Coturnix japonica: one gene and its partners. The protein of the gene in region 4 interacts with the protein of the main gene of each other region in a biochemical or structural test. Links are inferred from orthologs where the notes say so. Each region holds a gene or a part of one and is shown on either strand. Other genes may lie near its edges.

Region 1 (7,707 bases), on a different chromosome or scaffold from region 4:
AACTTTGGTTTTCTTCCTCACCGACACAGCTTCTTGGTCAAAAGCAGGGTTAATTCTACACACTTCTATTTCCTCCTGAGATGAACTGCTTCTGTATGGACTGTATTTGTTTGCAGTGTTTCCATACGAAGAATCACCATGTACAACACTACAACAGAAAGAACCATCGCTTGTGGAGAGAGTGCCGCTGCCGCTGTCACTGATGACGCTGTTACTATATGAACCTCCATCACTCGTGGTACTTGCACATGATCCATAGTCGCTGCCAGCACTGCTGAAGGACCCATTGTCACTGGCTGCAATACTGTTAAGACTGCCGATGCACACAGCAGTATTGCTCAGATGGCTATCGTTAGCTTGATGATCAACCACAGTTCTGATGCCATAATTTCCTTCATTACAAATACTGATGAATGAAGCATCTTCGCCAGCAGCTGCAGCATCACCAGACCGAAAACATTCATTATGCCTTCTAGATTGCAGAGAAATGTGCAGAGACGTGCTCTTTTTTTTTTGCAGTGAAGAAATAGCTGCATTTCCCTCTTGATTAATTACTTGCTGCATTACAGGTGCACAAGCAACTTGTCTAGAAGCCAGCTTCATTTGTATACCATTAAGTTCAGAATTCTGTGCCTTTTTGAAGTACATTTGATTGTTACTATTCAAAACATCTTCGGAGGTTTCCGGTAACAGATCCGTGTTCCTTCTTTGGGTTGCAAAATGCAGTCTTAACCGTCGTGCCATTTGTTCTCATTTCCATGCATATTAGCAAATTAAAACCACAAAGATCCTTCAGCAGAAAGTTTACAGGCAGCTGCACAGAACCTGGAGCTAGTGCATCACAACAGCAAAAGCCCATAAAAGAAGTTGCAAGCTTTGTCCTAATTTCTACAGGATAGTAGTGTTAAGAAAAAAGATATTGTACCTCTTGAAATCAGTCAGCCATTTGTTGAAGTGCAGTTTCTGGACCGTCTTTGATTGCTCGCAGTCAGAAAGCATTCATTTATAAAGCACTTACATTCCAGCGACCTCAGCTGCAACGTACTGACAAACACTATCAACCTTGTTTCGATTATACCTTCTGTAATTTGCATATATGAATATAATAATAACCTCTCAGCACTTCCAAGTTTAAAACAGCAGCTTCTGCTGCAGCTGCACTAGCTGAGTCAATGTGTCCGTACTTTCCCCAGCAGCGTATGACTACTAATATTTTTACCCATAGGTTTAGAATTACAGGAAGTTGGTAGGAATGAAATCCCATATAATTGAGTATCAAGTCTAGGATTGAATTTCCAAATAGTAGCCATGCTAGCAAACTGCTGAGGTCTGACTTATGCATAAACCAGCAAAATAACCCTCCTCCTTAAAAAAAGTTTTTCTAGGCTATTTAAACAAAACTTGAAAGAAACCTGGCATTACCTAACAATCTGCATTCTGTTTAACCAATCACTCTTTGCAAAGATTTCCACGTAGTGAAAAGGTCTCCTACCAATTAGTTAATGTTTTTTAGTGAGACGCCTCTAAACTCGAAGTGCAACAAGATACTCTGATTAATAATTCAGTGCTTATATCCAGACTGCCATGTTAAATAATATATTTCAACCTTTCCAAATTACAGCTGTTGAAGGTAGAAAGAAACAAAATATTCTTACAGTGCAAAGCAAAGTACCATCTTGTTTGCTGGAAGCCCAGAATAAGCGGACATTCATTACAGTTCGATATGGCATGCAAATGTATGCCCAGCTACATAAACTACAGAACACTGAGAGAATTATGCACGACGATAAATATGGTCAGTGAGCACAATTACAGAAGAAAGCTATCCTGAATAAATATATATAAGCTGTCTTCTACATTCATAGTTAACTACTAACTTGGTTTTATTTCAGTAAACTGATCAAAATGAAGAGCATAGAAAGCAACTAATACACTGTCATCTCTTGAAAGAATAACAGGATTGAGAGATCTTACAAACATTTCGCTGTCTCATCATCTGGAAAGGTCCTTTGCTGGCATCTAGTGGGACTTCTGAAAAAAGGCAATCTTGCCTTTCAATATTTCTTTTTCTTTTTTGTGTGGGTTTTATTTTTCTTTTCTTTTTTTTGAAACATATTTGATACGAATGTACTTATGAATACAGAAGCCATATGTACAGTATAAATACATACATACAGTACAAAAAGGTACCAGACTAGCATGAAATTACTTAGTGCTGCTGAAAAAGCGCAAACAGAGAAGAACACTAGGCCATTTATACTTTTATAGGTCACACTACTAGATTTTTTTCTGCTCCATATTTATTTAACCTTTGCTGTATTTTAAGCTAGAAGGTAATAAAATTAACATTTAAACCTCCTTCCCAAATAAGAGCCAAGAATCCAATTCACAGAACTCTATTTGCAAGCAACAAATTTGTTTTCTAATTATACTCCAGGGCTTACTTAAACTCCATTACCTGAATTCCATGATTAGAATGCAGCAGTAAATGAATACTACCTTATTCATAAAAGCCAACAAATACAATAGTTCGTCTATTCCATTATGCTTCACCAGCTGGATTTCTTCTAATGTTACGTGTTGGAGCAGGAAGAAAAGTAAAATACCATAAAAGCTTTTTTGGTCATGGTTTTAAAAGAGTTACAGTTGAACTACAAGCAGTATATTTTAAAAAGCACACACCCTTAACCATGCGAATGAAGAGGAAACAATGCAGTTCTTCAAGAACCTATCTGTCCCAACAATACACCTATCAGTAGCACAGTTCCTAACATGTCAGTTTCATATGCAACAAAAACCTGCAACAATTTTACTGCATATACTCTTGTCATTAAGACGTATTGGTGATAAAGCCAGTCCTGCAGGACTTCCAATTTATGCCAAACTTTGAAGAGGATTTTTGAACCAAGTTTTCAGGAAAGCAACATTACTTAAAAACAAGAAGAAATTTCAAGCTTTCAATTTCTCTTCAGAATTTAATGGGAATTAAAACACGTGGGACAGAACTCTACAAAGATGAAGACAGTCCCACAACTGTAAGAGAATGTCAGTGTTATCAACTTACTCACATCTACATTTTAAACAGTTGGCCAGCAGGCAGAACAAAGAATGACTGATTGCCATACAAGCCCACTATAATCACCGAAGATGAAACACCTTTTGAGCACAGCTGCGTGCATATCCTTGTGAAAAATCATGAGGCATCCATGATTTTTTGACATGAGAAGACAACAGAAGTGAACAAGACTGTCAGTCTCCCAAGAACCACAGCAAAAGTAATGATTTGACCAACTGAAGTAGTTCAAGACACATGGGATGGAAATTTAGTGTTCATTTAACAGAAAGCAAACTATGTAGAAATAGGAAGACAGCGTTTTCCACTGACTGAATGAGGAGATAGGAAAGATGTAAAAACATGTTATCACAGAACTACATAGTGAGTGATTAGGTCATGCTGCTTTGGTCTCCAAACTCAGTCACATAAAGGAAACAAAGCATAGTTTCACACCGATGCCAGTAAGATGTCTTGTTGATTCCTTTCCCACAAGCAAAGAGGTCAAACAACTCATCTACTTTCTCTTAGAGAATGAACAACAAGGAATTCCCTTGGTGGAAACCAAACTCTGCTTTTTTCCCCTTAATTTGGGCCTCAGATTTTCTAGTCATGCCTCCTGACTTCCACCTGGTGGCAGTGCGGTTCCAAAGACTATGGACTGTACTTCAAGCCTGCGCTGCAGCCCTTAACAGCATTCTGAGACTAACTTCTGAGCATCCTGACACGTCAACCACAAGTTCTGGTGATTCCATTTAAAGTTTCTGCTTTAAATATTTGAAATATCTGGGACAAGAACCACCACCAGCCAGCAATAAAATGACTTTGTTATTGTGTGATGGCTACAACCAAGAAATAAAGCTCTCCATTCTTAGACGTAATTATTCAAAAGAAATCAGAATTCGATTTGCAGGCATTTCCATTCTTTCAACCATTAGCATAAAAGGTACAACAGATTATTGACAATCCAGACAGCATTAGGAAAAAATGAAAGGGTTTTTGCTGCTAACACATTCCTCAGGCATTGATATTCTTCAAAATGGCTAACAGAGCAAAAAAGTGTCTGAAGTGCAAGCTAGAGACCACTCAAGTCTCTACTTCAGTAGAACTTAATTGGAAAGGTATATATTCCACTGAGATAGAATGTCTGTTAAACTGGCTTACAACACAAATGTTAGCCTCTGTAATTTACAATTGAGCATATGGGCAGAATAAAAAAGGAAGACTCCTCATGTAGGAAACAAGAACATGGTCAGGAGTTAGAATTTCACCAAGGACACAAATGCACAAGCTATCCCCACTTTATTTACGATAACTCATTCAGTGAATAACAAAGTAACACTCCAGTGTCTGCCTGTTGACAAAGAAACACATTTCTGTCCCACTGCTCCTTCATGCTATTGAAAAAAATGCCCCCATGAATACAAACATCTACACTGTCAATGCTGCTTTGTAAGAAAAATAAGCATTCAGTAGAGAGCTTTCAGTGTCACTTGGTCATAGCACTGGAGAAGCAATGTAAGAAAAAATGCTTCTGAGTTAAGCACGTTAGAAGTTCAGAGTTAAGGCCTCATTACTTCAGAACATCTAAGTGTGGTAGTGGCAGAAAAGTAAACAAATCAGGTCTTCCTTTGGGTTGTTCTTTTTGTTTTTTCCAGTTTATTATTATTATTATTATTATTATTATTATTATTATTATTATTATTATTATTATTATTATTATTATTATTATTATTATTTTAATTTTGAACATTGAATCCAGATCAAGTTATTTTCACTGAAGCCTTTATTAAATTGCAATATTAATAGAAAAGGACCTACCAAACGGTTTTCATCAAACACTTCAAAAAGGAGTCTGTGTTTCTGAGGATTAACCTAGGAAAAAGAAAGATGAGAGTAGTTAAAATATCTGCTGAATTCCACTGGTTGTGTCATTAAGACAAATGAGATACTTCTTTCCTTCTGTATAAGCACAGGGAGAATAATAAAAAGTCAAAATTAAAATGGCTGTTTCTCACAGAACTTGGTATGAGAGTTCAAAAATGTATCATTGCTTTTACGTATATCAAAGCAAAAACTAAATGATGCTGACATCCAGATTAAAATTGTTTTCTTCCAATAACAGTGGCTCAGAGCAAATTGGTTTAACTAGAGGTCTAAAAGGACCAAAACGTATTTTCTAACATTGAGATGCATAACCTAAAAATATTTAGGATTAAGTTTAGGGATGGCAAACTAGTGAACCACACACTGTACTTCTATGGAAGATTTTAAACCAATGGTCTATCTTTATCAGCCAAACTAGAGGTCTTGGACAAAGCCACAGCAAGAAAAAATTAAAACAATTATCAGTCAAAAAATTATTATAAAAAGGTATAGCAAACAAATGCAAGAAAATGACCTTCTTCTTCCTCCTTACATAGCACTGATAAAAGAGAAGGATGAGAAGATATAGCTTCTAAGCAATAAGAAAAAAGAGAAAGCAATAGTAATGCTTGAAAGAGAACAAGGAAAGTGAGAAGAATTAAAATAACACCAATGGCACAAGACCAAGCAGTCCATCTAATAAGTTTATCAGATGGGAATAAAAAAAAAAATTGCTTTCTAGAACTAACCATACATATAAAGATATCCAAGAGTACAGCATTTTTTTATGTTGCAGAAAAGCTCTGACTGGAAACTGATGATACTTTAAACTGATGTTACTTTATATAAGGTCACAATTTCCTCATTATTCAAGATCTGGGTTGTTTATAAGAGGAGGGAAATTCATCATCACTTGGGCATGCTACACAAAAGCAGTTTTCTCACATTCCAAATTCAGAACTCAAGAGTTCTTCAGCAGTCGCTTACAAAACTGGGACCTCCCAGTTCCTGAAACGCTCAACAATACAGTGCATATTCTGACTGTGCGCTTGTTGGACAAATAAGACCAAAATTAAACATCGAATCTACATTTTGTTCCTAAAATCTAAATAATACTATGTTCATTATGCAACACCACCGATTGGCACCAATTAGCCAAAATCTTGCCATCCCAAAACTGGCTGATAAATTCATGCCCAAGTTTTTGTGCATTAATAGAACAAAGAAGGTAAGATTTGTATTTGTGCTACAGTAAAATTTTCAGTCTTGAAAATAACAGATGTACTGCTAAGCAAAGTAGTCCATGAGCCTTTGAACATTAATTATTTCTGCATTTCTGGTTTAAAATGGTGCTGCAAGAAAAAAAAAGATGATTATTAACATAACAACCAACTCAGGTAATAACATAATAAAAAAAAAAAACAAACGCAAAATACCTCAAATACTTACTCGAAATAAAAGTTCTTCATTCCACTTTGGATTCAAGGACTGTATGTAGGGAGGAAAAGGACAACATTGGTTACAGTACCAACAACTTTCCAGTGTCTTTTTCTGCTTTTCTTTCACGTGTCACATCTATTTCATCTCCTGTAACAACCTACTTCAAGTACAGAAACTTTAATCTTGCTATTACAGATAAAAGTCATAGAAGTCTTATGCCATTTAATGCTGGGCAAAATTGATGATACAATTTACACATGTATTTCCAGATTTTGGGTAACATCAGGGATGCAGAAGGCAGCCCATCCTACCATGCAAATCAGTTAATTTACTGTATATTTTCAGTAACACTCACTGCTTCCTCTCAAGTCCATATCCACCATCTGCATTGCTTACACGTAAGCACAAATTAATTCTAAATTATGAACTGTTAGCAAATGCCAGATCTCTTAACAATGCCATCTAGGCACACCAGGCACAGGTGGACCAAAACTAACATTCTCTGATCAACCACACATCAATTTTGAGGGTGCCTATTCTAAATATACTATACATGCTTAATAACAATTGTCAGCATGAAGGTGAAACAGAAACATAGAAGAACCCTTGGGTCAGCTCATAACACAAATCACAGTCATTACCAACAGTCATTTGGAAGATTATTTTCTCTCTCATGTATAGTCTCTCATTTTCTATAGTTCTACCATAAATTATTACTTCTAACATTGACTTTTGTCAGCAGATATCCTAGAGAAACCAGAAGTATCACAGCTCAGGTGAACTACACAATTTGGTACAAGACAGAAAAGATGTATAGAAAGAGACAGATTATTACACCGTTAAGGACCTAAAACAACCAAAGCAATCCAGTATTTCCATTAACCACTTAGTTTTGAGTCACTGCTTACCTTATCATCTTTACTGCTTACAACAACAAATTTATTGAAAGGAAAATACTTAAATAATGCCATAAACAGAAAAACAGAGTAGACTACAGAACGTGTCTTTCACTCAGGAGGGATGTTAGTCCTCATATTTCTTGTCATTTTAACTTCTTCCTCAGAGTTTAATGAAAGAAATAAAACCCACATCCACAAAGACAAGTAAGCTAACCTTTCTAATAGTTTTTGTCTGAACACTGCTAAGGACTCCATTCACTGGATCATACACTGTCACTTTCACATATGGGTCACTGAGGGGAAAAACAAAAAAAAAAAGATAAGCAAGTTGCTAGATATCCTTTTTCTTTTTGTCAGCATTATTAGCAATTGAGCTTTAAGAGGTTTAAATTAACAGAAGCTATGAAAACTAGGAGTTATAATTACTTTATAAGGCCTATATATATATAT
Region 2 (7,625 bases), on a different chromosome or scaffold from region 4:
CCTATCAAGCTCTGATAGAACTGCTTGGAGCAGCCTGTCCCTGCACCTGCTCTGTATCCCATCTATCCAGCTCACAGCATATAATGCAAAGGGGCTCTGTTCAGTCCTGCAACCTACATGGGGTCCCTCCACAGGTTTCACAGTCTGTGTGAAAACACTCAAGTAGTGGTTTCAGATGGGAGTATATTCAGATTATTAACTGATGTCAGGAGGGATTCTACACATATAGACACGTCCCTGCTTGAATGTGAACTGTGTACAGAGAATGAATGCTAACAGATCAGCAAAAGCAGAGCATTAGGGCAGTCTTGCACATTTAGCCTCACTAATTCATCATGAAGATCTGCCCATAAGACTGACCTGCAAGACTTAGTTCACTAGGTCTAATTAATAGAGTTTGCTTCATCAGTTGCATCTGGTCTATGCTGTATTTGCTGTAGCACTAAGATTAATTTAATTGCTCTTAGAAGTGTCCCAGTGCCAGTTGTGACCCAGATACATTATTAAGAGAAAGCAGACTATGTGGCCTAGCCTGCCTCTTCCAGGAAAATAAGTTCCATAAAAAAAGAAGCCTACCTTCTTTCCGTTCTTGTAGAACTGGAATGTTGGCATGCACTTCACGTCACAGTGTGTAGCAACATCCTGGAAGAGAAAGAAAACAGTCTTCAGCTGTGCATGTCTGAAGGACACCAGAATTTAGAACCCACTGGTTTCCTTTTGATAAGGAAGTTGGACAAAGTCATCACTGTTCAAAAAGAAGAAAAACATCTTTTCTAGTCCAGCACTGCAAAGGCAGTGCAATATTAGCATCTTTCTGAAACAAACCTAAAAGATCCTCCCTTCAGAATCTAATTCATACAATAAGAGCACGTGTTTACTGCATCCACACTGTGTTTGGAGAGTACTCAAGAACACTACAGCAATGTTGCTGTTTCAGCCTGAAATTGTTTAAGTACTCATTCTACACTACTGAAACTGCCATAGAGCAGACATCTTATTACACATGGTTCAACACATGAAAGAGGAAACAGTGCCAAGGGCAGTGGTGAGACCAGACAGTCTTGTACTTGTGTAAGCTATTAGTTTTAGGGGAGATTGCATCAAAACAGATTAAGGCTTTGGGAGGAAGTCTCAAGGGCAGAACACCAGTGTTCCCAAGTTATCTCATGTGTGCCATAGGGGTTAAGACAGTGCAGATAACTAAAGCAGTTCATTCTTCTCATGTACTCTAAACATTCATTCTTTTCTGCCTAGTTGGTGGTGCCCATCTCATTTTGTTTCAATAAATCCAAGGACACTCATTGCCACTTCTGTGGTTCTCCAAACCTACTATCCCTTTGGACCTTACCTGGGCATCATCCACATCGATTTCAATGAACACCACATCACCAAACTTGTCAGACAGACTCTAGAATGAAAAATGAAATTATGTAGTTACAGGTCCAGGAAAGCCAGTTCTCAAAAAGATGCATTCATAGAAACTGGTGCTGTCAGACTTAACATGTTACCTTACAGCAGCTGCTTTACTGACCAGAAATTAATTTCCAGCTCCATCCCCTGGAAGAGTCTGCTGAAGCACCTAAGCATAAGGGAAAGGCCTTTCCTTCCCTTATGGCTTCCCCCTCAACACATAAAGATGCTACAGCTTAACTGAACGCAGTTTAAATAATCAGAGCCAGCATATATACATTATTTCAACTCCACTGTTGCCAGTTCTTGTGGAAATGCACCAGCTAGGTCCCTACAGACTGATGCATCAGCACACCAGGACAGACAAAACGCTACAGTGTGTTAGTTCCCCGCTGTGTATCCAAGTGCTTTATTCAATAGTTACCTATCATATCCTTCTAAGATTCCTCCTTCAGGAAAACACACCATAGACAAAGAAGGTTTCCACCATATTAGAAGTTGCACAGAAGTATTTCTATATACTTAAAGTTACTGTGAAAGACAAAAGCTACTTACATGGAAAAATGGCTTGATCATTTTGCATGGTCCACACCATGTGGCAGAGAAATCAACTACTATAAGCTTCTCACCAGCAGCTTTCAGTTCTGCCTCAAATTCGGACTGTAAAGAAAAAAGAAATCAAAACATTAAGGATTTCCCCCCTCATTTGCAAAAGGTTCAAGACTAACCCCCAAGTCAGCTTTCCCTTAGCTCCATCAGCACTGCATCCCCCACTGTCTTCTGATGAATTATGAGTATCAATTATGAAACATCACAATGCTCAGTCACTGAACTGTGGAAGTTTATGTAGAACTCAGCATGAACTGAGACCGTAAGCTAAACTGAGTAATGTTACACTTCTAACGTGATCCTGACGGTCCTTAGCATTCAGTTCTAATCTCCAATTTAATAGGATGTCGTCCATTTTCTTCTAGGATTCCTCAGAATCTGAGGACAAACTTCCACAGTTTCATGGTCTGATACCTTTCCCAAGCAATGGTTAGAATCAAGATGTTGCGTGGTTTACCCTACAGCATGTTTCCTAGAGCAACAGCTTCATCATATAAATATTTTATTATGCCAAGTAAATTGGGGTGTAACTCCAGTACTCAATGCAAAGCTACACAGTCTATGCCAGTAACAACTAACATTTAAGGTTAACAGAGATATCTCTGTTGCACTTTGTTACAAGAGACATTTCTGGACATCACGCTTTGCATTTCAGAGCTCCTTATGTGCCGCTGTTTTCAAAGAGCAAATGTTTCAACAGAAGTGTAAGGCACTGAAGGAAAGAAATATTTGCATGCTAAAAAACAAACAAGTATCTCAGGCAGAGCAAGCAGAGGATGCTGATCCAACACACAGGCAAGGGTGGCAGCAAGAAGTTCTTCCTCTCTCTCTTCTTCTCCACCACTGTGCTAATGTGGGGTGTATTCCTGCATCCCAGTCTCTAAAGCACAACACTGCCTCCAGCAAAGTTCAGCGTTCACATACACAGTAGTCCATGCTATCTGCTCCCAGTGGTTACTTAAAACCATAAGGCTGTTAAATAGAGCCTCACTCACTCCCACCTCCAAATCCCTGATTTCTGGCATATATTCTCACAACTTAGTGCTGTAACAGCCTTATTAATATTAATTCTACCTCCTGCACCCACCAATTGGACTATTTTCCTCAGTCCAAATGACTGATTGCTGTACCCTGCATGAGGAAGGCCATCCCTGGGACGCGCTGATCATATGACCACACATCTCAGGGCAATATTGCACAGAACAAGGGCAAAGTGGGAGGACATGGCACTTCCTGCAGATCACAACCCATACACCACTGGAGATCTGAGCACTGCTCTCCAGCTGCAGCCAGGCGTTACCCTGTGAGTCATCCCTAGAATTAGCTAAAATTGCTACAGGCAGCCTGAGAAGAGACACGAGGTCCAACGGTGTTACCCCTGAGATACCCAGCAAGGGGTAAGTGTTGGTATTTTTTCCTCAGAAAACATTAATATCCCTGAAGTAAGGAATACAGCAGGAAAACTGGCTGACCTTTCTGACTTCTAGTCTTTCTGCAGTAAGTATGGATTAATAAGATTCATACAGAAATATCTCCATTATCAGAATGGACACCTCCCCCTGTTAGTCCACGTGGCTACAGCTGTTAGAGGATCTCACAGCTTTTTCAGCAATATTTTCCTTAGTCCTCTGGAGGGGAAAAGCCCATAAACACTTTTCAAATACCCATCTGGTGCCTCCCTGAGGCCTCGGCCTCACTTTGCTGGGCGCAGCAGGCAGCATTATGTTAGCAGATTTCAGTTTCCAAGGGCCGGCTGCGAGAAAACAGGTGGCAAGGAGAGGTTCAATGCAGCAGGGATTCCCAGCAACCCAAAATGGAGGCCACCAACCAACGCCGTAAGAAATCCACCGCCCTCAGCATAGCTGGGACAGCCTTAATACAAGACCCCAGCTATAAGCACGATGTCTGACACCCACCGAGCCGCCCTTGGGCCGTGCTGATCCGGCAACCTGATCTAGTAAAGGCGTATGTTTGGTGGCCCTGCCAGGCAGGGGGGTTGGAACTACATGATCCTTGAGGTCCCTCCCAACCCGGGTCATTCTGTGATCGCGGCCATCAGCTGACAGCCAAGGGTCAGGGCGACGTGTTGCAGTTTAACCCGCTCCCGCAGTGCCCCCTGCGGCCGGAGCGCAGCCGCCATTGGGGAGCGGCCTCAGGCTCAGCGCACACAAAGGAGCGCGGCCCAAGGCCCGGCGCCGACACCAAGCCCCCCTCACCCACACCCCACCGTGCCGCCCCATGCACTCACCAGGCTGCCCACGCTCTTCACCATGGCGGCTCTCACTGTGCTGTACGGTCACAAGGCGGACAACGGGCTCGTCCCCGCGCACGCGCGTCCCGCACGCCGCTGCGCTCTCGGCTGTGTCTATACCGGTCCTCACTCCGCAACGCCAAACCAACGCTCTGCCGCCGCCGCCCCGGGCCTGCCCTTATATAGCCACCGCTGCATCGCGCATGCGCACTGAGCGCTCAGCCCATCGCCGGGCCACGCCCCTTCCCGCCCATGGCGCGGGTGACGTCACGAGGCGGGAAGGGGAGCGGCCGTTATAGTTCTTTCACAGGGCGGGGGTTGGGGGGAGCAGCGAGAGGGGGGAGAGGAGGGAAAATAGGGGGAAAAAAAGAAATAAAAAAAAAAAAAAAAAAAAAAAAGAAAGAAAAAAAAAACCAACCGTGTGACTGTAAGAAAAAGTGCTGCGTAACGCCGAGCAGGAAGTGGCGGGCAGGATCCTGCCCTGGAGGAGGGGAGGGGGTGGGAACCCGTATGGGGGGACTCCTCCTGTTTTATTTCTCGATTCTGTTTTAAAATCGTTTTAAAACTGGGTTTTTTTTCTGCCTCCAGCACCCATGTGCTGCGACACGGGCTGTGTGCTGGCCGTGCCACGTGTCTGCCTGTCCCCATGTCCGTGTGTCTGTCCCCTGTCTGCCCATGCTCCATATCTTCCTTTTCCTTTTATTCCCAGCCCCCTTGGCTTGTAAGAGACCCCAAAGATCATCCAGTTCCTGCATGGGAACCAACGGCTTCCCCTAGTTCAGCACCATCAGAGGACAATCAGTGTGCACTCAGCTCCCCGATAACCCACTGAAGAGACTGGACCTTAAATGGAGCCAATGCAGGACCCCACTGGTGACAATCTGCCATGTAACCCCATTAATACAACCCTCCAGTCCTGGCCCGTCAGCCAGCAGTTCTCCCAAGGCATTATACAGTGTCTAAGTGGCGCTGGACTTTGTGACCAGAGGATACAGTGAGAATCACACAGTGCAGCAGAAGGGCCAGTTTCACAGCAGATCCAAGCCTGGCCATGTCACAGAGGGCTGGGCACGTCCGGCATTAAGCAATGGTGCAGACAGCTGCCAAAGGGAGGAAGCTGCTGGAAGAACTGCCTGCAGCAACAGCTGCACCACGTTTTATCGCAGGAGAGACGGGTTATCTGCAGTGCATTACCACGCTGCATTTCATCTGGCCCTGACAGTCTTTAATGGTGCTTTCCCGTTCCTTGCAGCCTGCTCCTTGGGAGCACTCTTCTGTTGTAACTGACCCATTAAAGGTGCAATAAATATTTAATAATTAGATGGGTGTGCTGGGTGTCTGCCAGCCATATGCGCAGTGCACACAGAGCTCTGCTCTCACTGGTGACGTACCCAATCACCCAGCCTCTCTTGAACACTTGGCAGAGCACATCTGGTTGAAAGACGGAGGAGAAGCCATTGAACAATGACAGAAAGGAGGGGGAGAGCACTGCCACATACTGTACTTTCCAGGAATCAGCCCTGTGCTTCCAGGAAGCTGGCAGGAAGCAGGACCATCCCTGGGCCACCACAACCTCTGTGTGCCATCCCAATGCACATCCCATGAGTGATGTTCACAGGGTTCTGCAGCTGCCCACTCCCCTTGGTGTTCTGTGCTAAAAGCAGCGTGCAGGATCCATGCTCAGCACAGATGCATTGCACAGTGATGCAGGCAGGTTTCAAGGTGCAGTAATGCTTAACTGCTTTTTGAAAGCTTGGTAATAGAAGTCAAAAATCCACACGTGGCAGTAACCAGCTCATGCAGTTCCATTATCTGCTTCTCTGGCTCCCACCATTCATTGTCTTAACATCAAGTCTGATCTGCACAGAGGATGATGTTTTCTCCAGTGCCTTTTGAAGGGAGCCTCTATTGTGGAGCAATGGGTGGTAATGTGGGTCTAGTTCTTCACTTCTGCTTCCAGTCCAAATTACAAACTGGTGCACAAGTACAAGCTTTGCTTCTGAGTGCCTGACATCCATCTCTTTTCACATAGCTGTTTTGCTTTGTTTTTCTTGTCAGCCTTCCATCTGCCTTGCTTTTCTCTTCATTCTTGACCTCTCCTGTGGCTTTTGCCTTTGTGTCTGTGTGCATCCATCTCCTGCAGGGTAAGAGATGTCAGTCCTCCTGGCATTTCTTCTGCATGATGTGCAGGGCAAGCCAAGGACTATGACCTGGCGCAGGTGCTTTAGTACAGTTCAATGTGGTTTGCATGCAGAAGCCAGAGACCTGTTCAGGGCTGTATCAGCAGCATGTGATGTTCCCATAGCCCCTTTCCTTCCAGTGCTGCGCCACAGAGATTAATTCAACCTCAGGGTCCCTAAGCTCAGAGGGGTGGCACAGTGCTCTCCACAGGGAACAGCAGCCTCAGCTTTGGGTTATCTTCATAGATGGGAGAGGCAAGTGTGGTATCTCTTGCAGGACCTCCATATGGCGCCCCCATGTTGTGGTTTAACCATCATGTGGCTGAGCACCGGGAGCCCTTGGCTGAGAACAGCCTTGGCTCTGTACAGCACTGCTTAGCAGCAACTAGAAACATCCGTGTGTTATTAGCATTGTTTTTTTGCTAGAACCAAAACACAGCAGCATTCCAGACACTCTGTCCCAGCTGAAACTAAGACAATATCCACCCTTTATTCCATACCATTTACATCATGCTCAGATCCCACAATTTCTACACATCCTAATTACCATTCCCTATCTTTTTTATTGTTTTTTTTTTTTTTTTTTTTTTTAATATATATACACACACATTTATTTTCAGTAGTCTATGAGCCACCCATTTAAATTGTCCATGGTATTCATTTAGTTCATAACTTTGAGCTCCATCTGTCATAACAGTCCTTCAGTGCAGGAGGGATGATTCACAGTATTGGGTTACTGCATGCAGAAGCTAGTTCTGGTTCCATCAGAGTTCATTCTTCTTTATCCCAGGTAATTCTTGGTGAAACAGACTTTTTGAAAGATCTGAATTATTTTCTTCCCTTTCTCAAAAACTTCTCCTGCTGTGTTGCCCCACATGATGATGTCATCAATGTATTGCAGGTGTTCAGGAGCTTCCCCCTTTCACAGTGGCCATATGGGACTATTAAAGGGTGAGCAAGTCTTGCTGATTACTCCTTGGTTCTCCAGTTGGTAAATCAGCTGATGAATGGGAATTAGGGAGTCCTGGTTGGTGCAATATTGCCACCGGTGCACCACTGTAGTAGCAATTGGCACCTGCTCTTAGCAACCCCACAACAGAAGGGTCTTCTGAGAGACCAGGCAAGGTAGACAGCTGCTTAATGTTTTCCATCCATCCCAGCTGAAACCGAGACAC
Region 3 (7,473 bases), on a different chromosome or scaffold from region 4:
CTTGATGCAGATACGCAAGTATCCACATAATCAATGTTTTACTCTGCAAACATATAGACCATGGATTGATTTAAATTGGGGAACAATTTCTTAGTAAAATTAAGTTCAGAAAGTTGGGGGGAAGGGCTTAGAGGTTGGTTTTTTTTTGGTTTCCTCACAGCACTCCTCTCTCCCACCACATGGTCCTTGTATTGACAGACAGTGCTGTTACCCCTGTCAGTTTCATCAGCATAAAGTAACAGACAGATATCCTACTTCTTGATGAGACTTAACTAGCATTTTTTGACTGCCCCTGTAACAGAAAAGCAGATATATTGGAAATGTCAGCTGATTACAAGTAAACCAAAATGGAAAGCTGAAATGCAAAACTAATCCTTAGCGGGAAAGGCACAGAAACACACAGGAGTGCACTCAGACAAGCACACAGACAGAGAACAACCACGGCCTGGCAGAGCCACAGCACAGGGATGACCTGGTGGACACAAACTGATTTTCACTGGCTATTCAAACATTGCTTTATACCTAACCTGCTACTCACACTGTTCTTTGCTTCCTGACCACTTTCTTATTCTCCAAATTCCATTCTTTATGGTTCCTTAAGCAAACTGCCATGTATAGAGATACTCATTTCCCTCACTTTCTCCGCAACATCTCACCTCCCTGAAGAAGTAAGTCTATCTGCCAGCCTTTTCCTTGCCCTCTGCCCCCAGGGCCACCACCAGCCACTGTCTGTACACACCCATAAGCCCACTCATTGCTGGCTCTGACCACAGAACAGAAGCAGTACCCACATTGTGCCCTGTTCAGAATCAGCCCAGAAGCACCAGGGTCTTGTCTCCCTCCTGCTGCCAGGAGCTGCCCAGCTCATTCCCTCCATTCATGGAGGCAGCAGCACCAGAAGCAGCGAGTGCTTTGGGAGGTCCTGATTTGCCTCCAGCACTCTTGGGATGCTGAATGCAGGAGATGGATGCATGACACAGTCACATGCCCTTCAGCTCCTACTTGGCTCTGGAGATACAGTGACTGACTCCTCAGCTCTGTTAGAAATAAATTTTACATACACCTTTGAATTAATTAAATTTCTAAATTTTATACCATAATTTTTCAAAGGGCAACTTGCTCCAGTGCGTCACCACCTTGTGTGTGAAAAACTTCCTCCTAATATCTAACCTAAACTCCCCCCTGCCTCAGTTTAAAACCATTCCCCCTTGTCCTATCACTATCCACCTTCATAAACAGTCATTCTCCCTCCTTTTATAAGCTTCCTTCAAATACTGGAAGGCCACACTGAGGCCTCCCTGGAGCTTTCTCTTTTCCAAGCTAAACAAGCCCAGTTCCCTCAGCCTTTCTTCACAGGAGAGAAATGCAAAAATGCTCAGACTACTGTTTTGTTCTTGTGTTTTCATTTTTACACTTTTTAAGACCACTCTCCAAGTGGGATATCATACTTCCACAGAACCTCTGCTTCATCCACAGTACAATGAGGATACAAAATATATAAGACTGTTCCTGGGCTTCTACCACTGCACATAACTAAGAGGGAAAGCAATTTCTCACGCCATCTGTCACCAGTGCACCAAAACAGGCCACTATTTATCCCTCCCCCTCCCCCCAACAAAAAAAAAGAGAAGTAAAACCTATTTTCAATATTTAAGATTCCAGCTCTCCTTTGTCTCTGATCTGTCAACCATGCACTGAACACAGTGCTACGAACTGCACTTGCCAGGGGACGCTCTGGGAAGGATTGAAGTTCTCAGGTGCATGGGCACCAATGGCAAACACCATCAGCCATGGAGACATGGGAATGAAGCTAGACATGCTGAACAAGAAGAGTACAAAGACCTGAAGCAACACTTTGACTGCAAGGCTTGAAGGACTCCAGAAACCAGTGCTGTCAGGGGAGCAAGTGCTCTGCGGCCATGCCAGCTGTGGCAATGGCTCCACTCTTCCAACCACTCGCTCCTATTGCCTCCCTCACAGCAGCAGTTACACAAGGTGGCTCTGAGAATGCTGGAAACTAACTCAGCAAAACTTTTTTTTTTTTCCCTTACTATAATTACTCTGTAGTTTAATGACTTCCCTGCTCTACCTTGTCATACCACTTAAGCCAATTAAACCAATACTGAGGCAGTCCTACTTACTTTTGTCCCCACCCAGCAACACATTCCTGAGCATTCCTTGCATCAACACCCAGCCCCACCACTAGTAAACGCTGGGCATCCCAAAGACAGAACACTTGATGTGTCACTTCCAGCTGATTTGGTTTGTAGCACTCAGCTTGCAGAGACACTGGTGTCAATAGGGAGCCGGTGCCAGGGAAAGCAGGGAAGTACACAGGATGAGGCTGTGGCACTTCACAGGGCAGCAGCACCTGTGCAGATGCCACTGATCCAGACAGAGCCACCTGCAGAGCCAAACAGCCCTTCCTGACTCAGCTCTCCTCATCTTGTGCAGCCAGAGTCCTCATAAGGAGCTCCCTGCCAGCTTCAGGACTTCTCTACTGCTGTGGCAGCCACATGCTCACTGCCACCAGGACTTCTGGAGGTCCCTAGGCCTCAGCTCCTCCCACGGTACCTCAACATATCTGTTCACTTAAGGAAAAAAAAAAAAAAAAAACACAACTGTTTAACACTAGATTTCACTGAAAACACTTGCATGTCATCAAAATGGTCTGTCTCTATGAATTCACACCTAAAAAGGCACTTTAAAGGAACTAAAAAGGAAACGACTGCCCTCCCTCACAGGATATTTCTGTCATTGCAAACTTACACTACATCACGGATCCTCGTGTCTGCACAGAACTAACCTCAGCACTGAAGATACATGAGATTCACAGCAATGATTCATAAATATGGGTCAGGTGGAAGTAAAGGACACAATATAAAAGTTATAACAGCGCTGAAAGATGGCTATTTCTGCTCTTAGCACAACTGCACCTTCAGTCAAGTTTTTAAATCATATACATTACATTAAGAGGTTTGAGACTGTGGTTTTTGAAGGCTGCTGTAAACATGTATGCTATCAATTTCCCAGCACCCAACAGGTACCTCCGTGGTCTGACAAACATGGGACCTTCACACAGCAGAAACCAGAGAGAGTAAAAATCCATCATCTGGTTCCAAGGACACCAAACTGTGTAGTTTTATGTAATCAGCTCTCCACCCAAACAGGTCCCCGTCAGCCTATACATCGGTGCCACCTACCCCAGCAGCACAGAACAGACTTATAGCAAACTGTGCTCTTCTGCCATCACCACAGAGAGCACAACCTTCCCTTCTGGTCTCTTCTAAGAAGGAAAGCGCAAACAGATTCCTTAGTACCACCATCCTCTTATTAAACTAAAAAGTCATAAACCTGCTCTGTGTGGCCTCACTGACACCAGTTAAAACGCTGCTCAAGCAAGGAGTATTTTCTAGCGGTGTAACTTAAAGGAGAGAACTCCAAAGGCATTCACAGCGACTTTCTGAGAAGTGAATACCCACGGCTTTTGCAAGAATACTCTGCCACCAGCCAGAGCAGATGGGAAGGCTGGCAACATTACCTTGCAGTAATAACCGTACGTTTCCATCAAAACAAAACAACAGCAACAAAATCAACCACAAGTTCACCATTAAACTGTCTTTACTTAAACATCTGTCTGCAGACACACACATTGACAGACACGCAGACCCAGGAGGCACTGAGCAGCAGCGAGGATCCCAGTTTGGAGCCGCAGCAGAACGCAGCGCTCCGGGGGCTGCGGCCCACCCACCCCAGGGCTCGGGTCCGAGCGGCCCGCGGTGCATCCCGGCGCACTGCTCCTGCCAGCCCGATCCCCCCATGCCAAGTTCTATGTGGGCAGCGCCGCACACAAGGCACGGCCGCAGCCCGGGGTCTCCTGCGGCACTTTGCCACCCGGGGACGGAGGAGGTCCGGGGAGGGCACAACGCGCAGCGCGCCACAGGGGAGCCAGAGCGAGACTCTCCCGGCCTTTGTTTCGCTCCTCTCGGCCTGTCTTTTCCTCAGCCCCTCCCCAGGGAGCTGCTCGGGGCCGCAGAGCCGCAGAGGAGGGCACCGAGACGGCGGTGGGCCGTAGCGCCCGGCGGGCAGAGCCGCCCGTCCTCCCGGAGAGACCTCGGGCTGCGGCCCGGTTCGGCAGCACGGCGGGAGGGCCGAGCGGCAGCCCCGTGTGAGCGGCGAGCGGGAGGCCTCGGCCTGCGCCCCGGGGGGTGGGTCCCTATGCCGGGCCGCGGGCCCCAGCCCGCCCGAGGAGGGCCCGGCGCGGGGGGCACGGGGCGGCCGGCACCGCCGACCCCGCGGGGGAAGCCCCCGGCAGCAGCCCTAGGAAGCGCCCGCCCCGCTAGCGTGCAGCCCGCGGAGCCCGCCCGCGCCCCGTGGGAGCGCCCCCCACCCGCCCCGGAGCGGCCGCGCCGGGCACAGAGAGACCCGCGGGGCCGCCACGAGACGGCCACCGCCCCCGGGCCGGCCCTGCGAGGCCGCCGGAGCCGCAGGCGGAGCGGGACGGGGAGCCGGGGGTGTGGGGCCGCGCCGAGGCCTAGAGCGGGGAGCGCTGCCCTGCCCGGAAGCGGCTGCGGCCTAGCGCGGGGCTGCTTACCCTGCATGCTGCTGACGGCCGCGTGCGCCGGCGGCCCGCCCGGGCCCGGCCCGCTCCCGCCGCCCGAGCCGGAGCCGCTGCTGGGGCTGGGAGTCGCCATTGTGTGCGCCAGAGACGGAGCGGCGCGGAGGCTGCAATGCAGCAGGGACCCTCCCAGGCAGGACACCTAGAGCCCCGCCGCCGTATAGCAGGCGCCGGAGCCTCGCCGTCCGCCCCCGGGCTGGGGCTCCCGCTTAACCCCTCCCAGGCGGGGCGCCCGCGGCCGCCCAGTACTTTCCGCCGCCGCGGCGGGCCGAGCCCGGGCCGCTGCCTTCCCCGTGAGGTCGACCGCTGGGCCCGAGGTCTGCCGCCCCCCGCCCCGCTCCTCGCTTCCAGGGCGGCCCCTCCCCGCCGCCGGGCCGCTCGGCGTTTGTGTCCTGCCCGCCCCCACGTCCTCCTTCGGAGCCACCTCTACTCCCTTCCCCGGGGGGCAGCGCCCGGCTGCGGGTGGCAGCCGTACGTAGCGGGTGCCTCCGTCTCCTGTCCGCGGTTCCCACCCCGAGCATCCCTGTGCTGCGTCCCTCTTGATTTCTCCTGCAGTGCTCCCCACTAGGGAGACATTGCTTACTCCCACCAGGAGTGGCCGTCATCCCCTTTTGGGCCACTGTGTGCCCTCCAGGAGCCCCATGTGTGCCATGATCCCAATGTCACAGTGTGCCCCACTGTTCCACCCGAAGAACTTCCTTGACCAGGGGTGCACAACCTTCTCATTTCCCTGGTCTCTCATCTCCCTCCTCAGATTGGGCTATCGGTTTGTCCAAGCAGCCCCACATTTCTCAACACACAGCCCTTTCCCTCGCACTGGCATCTACCTGCCAACTTGTCTTCTCATGACTTACCTGAAACCTCTTCCCTGCAGAGTTTAACTTCGTCCTGTGTTTTCCATTACAGCCAGGGCAACAACCTCCTTCTGCTGCTACTGTTGTCATCATTGTCGTTTTATTTCCTCCATTAGCTGCTGTTCATTCCAGCACATTGCATCTGCTTTGTTTCTGATTCTATCTGTAGTTTCATTCTTACTCTAAGGGACAGCACCATGCACCAGGGACAGGAGCAATAATATTTGTCCCAAAAGAGAAGGGCTATCTTTCCAGCCCACCTCTTTCACCTGCAGTAGTCCCTGTTTCTTCATCACAGAAATAATATTGACTTCCTTTATCACTTGAGATCCACTGATGAAAGAGCTGTTCCTGACCATCTGCCCTTTCAGCCCCATCCTTTCCACACCAAAAGGACCACAGTCAGCTTTCTCCCTGTCGCTGGTACAGCTTCCCTGGACAAGTGCTGGAGAGTCTCTTCATGCACGCAGGCACACACCTGTCAGTGACAAGTTTGCTGGGTTTGATCTGAGACTCCAACCCATCCTATCCTGGCTGCTGCTCCCACTGGAATCACTTCTAACTCTCTTAAAGCTGCACGTACATTCCATCCTCTTTGCTGCTATAGAGGGTGAGAAGCAGGAAGCACTCACGCACAGAGCTTCCCACAAGGACTTCCTGCATGTGGTCTGCACAGGCACCGCGGGTGGCAATGGTGCCATCTCTTGTGGCAAATCAGTGCTGGTACTCAGACCCTTCTGCAACAGAGACCACAGCCCCTGCTGCATGCAACAGCACAAGCACTCATCTCCAGAAGATGTACCTTTATCCTCTGCTCCTCACTCTCACCAGAGTGGGACCCCAGTACTATGGCCCTGCTTCCCCAACATCAGGGAGCACACAGGACTGCAAAGAGGAGTCTTTGCACATAGCCTCTGAAAAGAGGAGTCACCCAAGTGGAGCCTAACACAGCAGACAGACAGCATTCTCAACAGCAAGAGCCCAGGGCTGAGCAAGGCAAGCAGGGCAGGTGCTGTGACAGCAACCAGATTGAGCCAAGATGCCAGGCTGCCAGGCAAGATAAATGCCATAAGGGAAGCTGAAGAAAAGATGGGAAGTCAAGTCAGGGTGTGGCTCAGTGGGGACATGGCAACAATGCAGCTGCAACACTGGGAGAGATGGGATCTGAGTATAAGCCCTGGTTTAAAAGCAGCACAAAAGAGAATAATTCAGGACTCCCACCCAAGGCTTCTTCCAGCTTTTTCTTTTTCTTTTCCTTTTTCTTTTTCTTTTTCTTTTTCTTTTTCTTTTTCTTTTTCTTTTTCTTTTTCTTTTTCTTTTTCTTTTTCTTTTTCTTTCTCTCTTTCTTTTTCTCTTTCTTTTTCTCTTTCTCTTTCTTTTTCTTTTTCTTTTTCTTTTCCTTTTTCTTTTTCTTTTTCTTTTTCTTTTTTTTCCTTCTTTCAGTGTTACAAGTGTTACAAATGCTGCTTTTGAAAAGCTTTCTTTTTTCAGCCATGCAAACTTACATACAGAGTCAAAGGCTTGAGTGAGGGGCATATGCAGTCCAGTTCTGGCACTGAAGACATCTCCCCTAGATCCACAACCTTCCTTTCTCTTCCCTCTCCTTAAGCTTTCTCTTCTGCCCTAACCAAGAGTGCAAACCCAAAGCTGACATCTTACAAGTCACAATAAATAGACCCAGTACCTGTTGGAAAAGCCAACAGCTGGCTGCCATCCCTGCTTCACGCCACCTGCATGTGGTTTACACAGGTAAGGACTATTCTGCTTCTCTTGTTTCACCCTGCAAATCTGGGAGGATCAACAATACCTGTCCTGACACATGTTTGGGAAACCTATTCTTAAAGACCTCCAGTGATGGAGATTGTACCATCCCCCAGCAATCTGCTCTGGCACTCTACTATCCTGACATTAGCTGAAAGCCTAACTTAAGCTTTTTTGTCTGAGCTGAAATCCTTTACACCCCTTCCTGTTCACTACAGCAATGAAATACAAGTAATTCCT
Region 4 (7,041 bases):
CTGTAATTACCAACTTTCCGAAGCTCAAAAGAAGTATCAAAGCAATGTCCAGCTGCCAGAAGAAGCACTGCATAATTGATTCCCGACTGCAGTGTTGGCTCTGACTCAAACGCCTTCTTGAACCTGGAAAAAAACAAACATACAAGTTTGCTTTCCAAATAACACAATCTAGTAGGGACATAATTATACTTTTAGGTTCTGTAGGTGCTTATCTTCTGTTTACATAGCAAGAATCCATGGAAACAAAAATATTGTTTTCTGTACGTGCTTTTTGTCTATTTTTAGGAATGACTTACTTACTTAAGAGTTAGTTACTTATATATGCATCCTCTTTCATTTTCCTTTACACAAGAACAGACCCTGGTTATCCACCCCAGCACAGTTAGTATCTTACTGGATTCACAGTTTTTCCACAGAGATAAAAAAAAATAGTATTATCAACTTTTAAAAGACCTGTTTCAGTTATATTTATTAATGGACTCTTTAATTTTCTCTTAAATGGAATCCTCTTATGGATTTTCACTAACTTGAGACTTTAGATCATGGATCTGCCCCAGTGACATAAGCATATCAAAATACATAAACACAGAAGCGAGTGACACACAAATGCCTCATTTCTGGCATGAGTACCCAAATTTCTCTATTTCAGTGACAAATACAGAACTTCAGATTTTATAAATAAAATAAACTTCTCCAATGTGCATCATCCAAAGGTGGAAACACGCATGCTGTCAACAATGTTAAACATATAGGCAAAGGAGGCAGAGATGAACTTAGGCATACAAAAAAAGCTATTGCCTGCAGAAGCAATTGATGAACAGCCCTCAAAAAACAATGCACTGATTTGAAAACAAAGCGTCGCGTACAGGCAACAAAAAAAGGCCATATTCCCTAACCACGGGGGATGGAGAAATTATTTCCTAGGATCAGAGAGATTATTTCTTCTGCTACACTCAGTCCTTGGCTTCTTTAAGCTTCAATTGACAAGTAGCATCCTCCGTGACATAATTTTTGCAACATGCACAAGAAAAAACAATAAGAATCAACAAGAAATTCACAGACAAAAATAAAAATGAAAAACTTGTAATTATTTCAACAAATGAAAATAACCACTTTCAATTAACATCCACTAACTGAACTTGTTTAAATTCAACAGGTGCAATTGGTGCACACTGACAAGCCCTACATGACACAGAAGGAATCAGTCTTGCAGAAAAGCAGTCAGGTTTAGAAGTCTTCCTCTAAAGATAGAGGTTGGCTTAGATAATTCCATTATAAGGGGCTCCAAAAAATTGAAAGCTGATATTTAGGAAAATGTTGCAATACAGACACTGAATAAGATGAGTAGCAGTAAAAGGATTTGAAAGAAGCATTGATAGCATTGGTGAGTTTGATTTACATTGTCAGTATGCAACAAGAAAGTGTCAGTTAACAATCAGACTTTCATTTCTTGTCTCATATTTTTTATCACAGATGCCTTTTACTCCACATTTCAGTTGTCAGAAAAATCACACTTCCTGCATTTATTTTTCTCTAACAGCACAAAGTACCCTGACATCATTAGCTGTTGCAAAACTAACACTTTGGTTCTGCTGCCAAATTCCTATCTTATGCAATTCACTAAATTTCTCTAAGACAAAGATAATAAACTTTATCTCGACATAAACTAATACAATTGTGGAGGCATTCCCGCACACACCTTCTTCCGCCCCCGCTGAGGCCAGGGTGCAGCACTGGTAGTAGCTTTGCTCCCAGCCAAGGGCCACCAATTAGGTTATGGTTCAACCCTTCAGCCATATGAAGCCTGCCATATGACTGACACGAGTATTCAAATCAATATTCAACATAAAGTACATACAAAATGCAACTGGCGCACCCAGGACAGGTTCCAGTCAAATTCCAGATCATTTCAGTTTGGTCTTACTGACCAAAGACTTCAAGGATTATGGAAGAGCTGGCCTGTCAGTGTCCTACCCATGGCAAGAGCTGCATTTGTTCTCCTTCCCCCAAACTGTTATGACTGCAATCATTGCACCTCATGAAGGTAGATGAGCAACATGACTGACAGATGCATTTATTAAAAGCATGTTAAAACAGCTGTGTGAAACATCCTAGTAAGTAATTCTGCCTACTAAACACATAAACTCACCTGATTATGTTTGAAAATCTCAAAGTTTATCTGTTCTTAAAGCAGTACAAATGAGGAAAAAGCAAGATACACTATCACAGACGTAAGTTCATTTAATTTGTTTTGTCTATGGTGATGCCTAGTACCGGATAAGGACTACAGTTTACTTTTTGTATCAGCTAACATTAAACAAAACATTATTTTACAACTATTTTGAAAATTTCACAGGAGCTTTGGCTTAGATAAATTCTTTAATTCAAAATTATGAAATGGGAAGGGGGGGAAATAACATGCTGCATTCCTGCTATTGCAGTATATTTTAAGAGTCCAGTAAGCATTACAAAAGTGTAAAACATAACCAACAATTAGAAATTGTACGTGTATTCTATGACTGCAGATGGTGAATAATTATGTATTTCACCAAAGGCAACTCAAATCTGAAGGTTACTGAAAAAAAGTGAAACGAGAGAAGGAGAATCAAGCTTTCAGTTCTAAGCAATTACTTCAACAGTTAGCTGATGAACTCAAGAGCAGGACTAGGATTTGATATGGAGTATATGCACAAGTATTTACCTATATTCTCTTTCTGGACTGTAACGGAAAAAAACAGCTCACTCTGGCAAAAGTATCTAATGTTACAATTTCAAGTATGTTTCCTTTGGAAATTGAAGGCCTGACACTGACAAGAGACAGAAGAATTTTTTTTAATCTATTCCACATAAAAGTTGGCATTTTAGCACATTCCAAAGGAAAAAGAACGATCATTTTAGAGGCAAGTACCATAAGAATTTGTACTGTGGTCCACTGTAATACGCAGACATGGTATGGTGATGATGAGGTAATAAACCTTTTCTGAGCATGAGTTTATATTCTTCATCAGCAAGAAAGCCAAAAAAAAAAAAAAAAAAAAAGACAAAAATGGTACTTTCTACGCATCAGCACAGTTATACTTTAGAACCTTTAAGCATAGCTGGTAAATATCTACCAGGCTGCAGATACGCCTATTGATTCAAGCCTGAATAATATCTGGACCAGATTCCCAAATGTAATGCAGAAAACAAGAGAATTCACATTTGACAGAGAGGAGAAAGATAAGCTGTGATGAGGGCTACCTCAACTTCCAAGGCTCTGAAGAACTTATAGAGCTTCATGGAAGCTGACGTACAGACAACATAAGTCTCTCATTCTTTACAAGTAAGCGAGGCCCAGATTAGAAGACTTAGCATAACCATCAAGAACACAAAATATTTGGAATGAAAAAGAGTTGAAGTATGTTCTCATTAAAGGAATGTTTTCTAAAGCTAAGAAAAACACATAGACCAGGAAGACACTACTCACCAGAAGGTCCCTTTGTCTCTGCTTTCTGTATCTATGAACCCAGATTCCAAAAACATGTCCTTGTAAATGCGACCAACCAGGCAGTACATATCTGAGGCTACTTGATCTTCTTGTTCTACTAAAGGAATCATAATTTCTAGAGCTTTCTGTCTGTCCCCAGGCAGATTTCGTCTATTAAAAATAAATATTGCAATAAAAAATAATAGTGTTAACAAGGAATACCTTTTTGTGACCAATCTGAATATACAGTTATTCGTTTAAAGATTAAATACATGATTTTAAATAAAGATATGATTACAGACTAATATATAAATATATGTAAAATGCACTCCTAGGTGCAATGGATTATTTTATAAACATGTTTAAAACAAAGATTAAAAAACATCACTACCAAAAAAAACCTTCTTTATAAAAGCCCCCAAACATGTTTTCTCCCTCACGATCAGCTAGCGCAAAGCAGTAACAGCAGTAAGAATAGCTTTGAGAGCAATCCTTAGGGAGATCATGCAATACTTATTTATAAAAAGCAATGCAAAGGCTGCTCCAAAAGCACTGTCTCCTGTTTTCTCTTAAGATGGCTCATGATATCAGATGTTGCTGTTGGTGCTATGGCAGTAGAGGCTGAGCCTTCCCTCCAACATTCTGCTACATGTTGTTGCTGTGTGAAAGATGGCAGCAGAGGGGTAGTCTGACAGAATGGTATCTGACATGGAACTATAGCAAAGGGGTGCCAATGAACTCCCTCATGCAGAAACAATGGCACCCACCAACCTTTATTGACAGTTGTTGAACGTTGATGGAGACCAAACAGCAGATGTGAGCACAGTGAAACGGTGGGTGGTGTGTTTCAGCAGTGGTGACAGTGGGTCACCTCCACTGGTGCAGATTTTTTTACAAACATGGCATGGTGAAAATGCACAGCTAACAGTGATATTGAAAAATACTGTTTTGTAGCTGAGAATTTGCTCTATCAAACAGTGCTACTGAGCTATTTGTATCTGTTGTTCTTTCCATGGAAAACAATAGGAGGCATTACTTTTAGAGCAACCTACATATATCTGAGAATTGCACTGCCTGCTGACACTTGGTCTGCTCCTCTAAACATCAGAGGGCAATCTTTGCTGTGATAACACCAAGGGATCAGAAAATCTGCAATTTCCACTGGAAAATTCCCTCTTTAATGCCATCCTCAATTGCCAGTATTTCAGATTCCTGAGAAAAATCACAATATAAGCAAAAAAGCACAAGAGCCTAGCTCCCATTTAACTCAAAGAAGTGATGCATGTTGCTGTATGTGACACACTGCACATTATTTATTTATTTATTGGAGAATGTGAAAAAAAAAAAAAATGTGTACTGTAACACAGTAAATATGACTTCATGGAAGTTTTTCTCCTGTCTCCTGACAATAGGAGAACTCAGACTTGAATGAGAGGATGTCTAACTCAGCACAAATGCTACAATGCTGTCAGGCAATAGCGATGTTAAAAGTGTATTCTACTTTTACAGACTCAGACACTGAAGTGAAAAACTCAAATGCTGATGCAGATCTATGGAAAGACAAATAAATAAAAACAGACACTCACAGAGAAGGAAGAGGAAAGCAATTTGGCAGTATGAAAGGAAAAGGAAGCTCAAACTCATCATGAAGGTCAAGAGTCCCCAGAACTGCTACAGTGAGAACCCTAGACCTGTATACAAAGATTCCAGTAGGGACCTATAACCAGGATTATCAGCCACACATTGAGTTTGTGGTATTGATTTACTACTTGACAGTAGTAGGAAAGGTAGAGTCTTACCTGTTCAGTGCAAACGCATAATGTAACCTCACATGGTGGTGGGAAGCTAAGTCAAAAGTAGGCAGTTTTTCTAAAGTTTTCACCAGTTTCACAATGGAATCGTAATCCTTCCAAAAAGAAAGGAACAATGAAGTTTTAAGCAGCTGTACTGAAGTATGCCTATACAAACTCTTCTTTGAACTAAGGAGCTGGTATTTCATACCGGATCTTACATTCCTCACTCTGAAACTATAAATGGCTTGGCACTAAGAGTTGCAAATAAACAGAGCACTTAACACGATTTGGATTCCTGAACTGCTTAAATATACATACTGAAATTTCCCATTCCATGTTTCATAATACAAGTTAGCTTCAGGGCTGAACATATATCAGTGTTCATATCAGGTAGAAATTATAATACTAACTGCGTCTGTATTGAAGTACTCCAAAACTCTTCAAGGTAAGCACTAGACACAAGCAAAAATTAAAAACACTTAAGAAGCAACAATTGAAACTATGTATAATAAAGCGAGCAATTACTAGTACCATTCAGAGAAGCTGCAGTGCATACAAACATGTTATGTCGCCGAGAGAAATGTCATATGCATGGTGATATAGCTCGCAGTCAGAACACGAACACATCAATAGCAGAACGCTACCATGGCCTTTAAGTAGGGCACACTACAGGCTGTCTGTCATGTAGCAATGCTGACATGGAGACATGATGTACGTTACATATTTTTTTAGGTGCTGTTGTAACATCTTTTCAGCTATGTGAAAGTACACTATCAACAACATAACCAGAAGTAAAGAGCATCGGTGAAGATACTGTAACAATTTTTTTTACTGGTGTGCATTATTTATATAGTTTCTCAGAAAATGTGTGCAAAACACACTAGAATTCCACCAAAAATTAAATCTATCCCATTTTGGATGGATTGTCTTTGAGCAGAAGATACATACCTGGATGTCTCTGTAGGACAGCAGCAAGTTGATTACAATGTCAGCAGACAAGACCTCAATATTATCCACTCGCTGCCGAATCCTTGCCAGCTCTGCTGCAAGCTCTTTGCCAGTGAAGAGGGTACGGGCCTTCCTAATGTCATTAAGGATGGACTCCCGAAAATACTGGCTGGAAAGGAACAACGAAACATTAGAACTTTGTGAAAGCTCTTCTGCATCTGTTTTTACAGCACTGCAACTCTACCACAATACCTTCACGGAACATCTACTGATAGAGCAGCATTAGTGTGGAGAGTCGGTCAAGCTGAATTATTCATTAATTCATTATCAATTTGTCTCAACAGAAACATCACTCACTCTGAAGGCAAGAGACCTGATATTTGTACTGTCAGCAGAAAAATGCAATATACAAAGGAGTACAAAACATCAACTCACCCCGAGCTGGCCTGCGCCACCTTCAAGAGTTGGATAAATCGATCCACCAGAGGTAAGCAAATAGGTCCAAGCAGTGATTCAAGACTTGGCTGCATCAGTTCTGTTAGTCCCTTCATAAAACTACTATCACAGCAGTACACCTTGTTATGCGGAGTTATCATATAAGGAACAAAGATGTAGTTACCAGTACACATCTGTAAGAAAACAAGGCACAATAATTAGGGCAATTATTGTTTGGCAAGACTAAACCAGGAAAACCTGCTTACGTAATGGGTAAAATTTTACCTGTTGAAGGCAAAAGGGACTAAGACTTTAAATATGGAGCCTACAATTACAAATATCCAAATTTCATCTTGTACATGATAAACGTCTGAAACATATATCACAAATGTTAAAACC

Evidence for each region.
Region 1: the proteins of MAP3K5 (region 4) and NEDD4 form a complex in vitro, tested with the Homo sapiens proteins (2 studies listed by BioGRID, with this or other methods). The link is inferred for Coturnix japonica from reciprocal best matches to the Homo sapiens genes MAP3K5 and NEDD4.
Region 2: the proteins of MAP3K5 (region 4) and TXN form a complex in vitro, tested with the Homo sapiens proteins (3 studies listed by BioGRID). The link is inferred for Coturnix japonica from reciprocal best matches to the Homo sapiens genes MAP3K5 and TXN.
Region 3: of the proteins of MAP3K5 (region 4) and MAP2K4, one has a biochemical effect on the other in vitro, tested with the Homo sapiens proteins (3 studies listed by BioGRID). The link is inferred for Coturnix japonica from reciprocal best matches to the Homo sapiens genes MAP3K5 and MAP2K4.

Annotation. Positions count from the first base shown.
Region 1 is NC_029525.1:6,716,653-6,724,359, reverse strand, and holds the start of NEDD4 (E3 ubiquitin-protein ligase NEDD4), read right to left. Parts: upstream 4,706-7,707; 5' UTR 745-4,705; coding exon 1-744. UniProt on the Homo sapiens protein: E3 ubiquitin-protein ligase which accepts ubiquitin from an E2 ubiquitin-conjugating enzyme in the form of a thioester and then directly transfers the ubiquitin to targeted substrates. Specifically ubiquitinates 'Lys-63' in target proteins.
Region 2 is NC_029547.1:59,050,879-59,058,503, forward strand, and holds the start of TXN (thioredoxin), read right to left. Parts: upstream 4,493-7,625; 5' UTR 4,292-4,492; coding exon 4,268-4,291; intron 2,071-4,267; coding exon 1,966-2,070; intron 1,409-1,965; coding exon 1,349-1,408; intron 643-1,348; coding exon 577-642; intron 1-576. UniProt on the Homo sapiens protein: Participates in various redox reactions through the reversible oxidation of its active center dithiol to a disulfide and catalyzes dithiol-disulfide exchange reactions.
Region 3 is NC_029533.1:618,177-625,649, reverse strand, and holds the start of MAP2K4 (dual specificity mitogen-activated protein kinase kinase 4), read right to left. Parts: upstream 4,941-7,473; 5' UTR 4,695-4,940; coding exon 4,595-4,694; intron 1-4,594. UniProt on the Homo sapiens protein: Dual specificity protein kinase which acts as an essential component of the MAP kinase signal transduction pathway. Essential component of the stress-activated protein kinase/c-Jun N-terminal kinase (SAP/JNK) signaling pathway.
Region 4 is NC_029518.1:49,741,479-49,748,519, reverse strand, and holds part of MAP3K5 (mitogen-activated protein kinase kinase kinase 5), read right to left. Parts: intron 6,837-7,041; coding exon 6,643-6,836; intron 6,377-6,642; coding exon 6,208-6,376; intron 5,373-6,207; coding exon 5,266-5,372; intron 3,638-5,265; coding exon 3,467-3,637; intron 124-3,466; coding exon 11-123; intron 1-10. UniProt on the Homo sapiens protein: Serine/threonine kinase which acts as an essential component of the MAP kinase signal transduction pathway. Plays an important role in the cascades of cellular responses evoked by changes in the environment.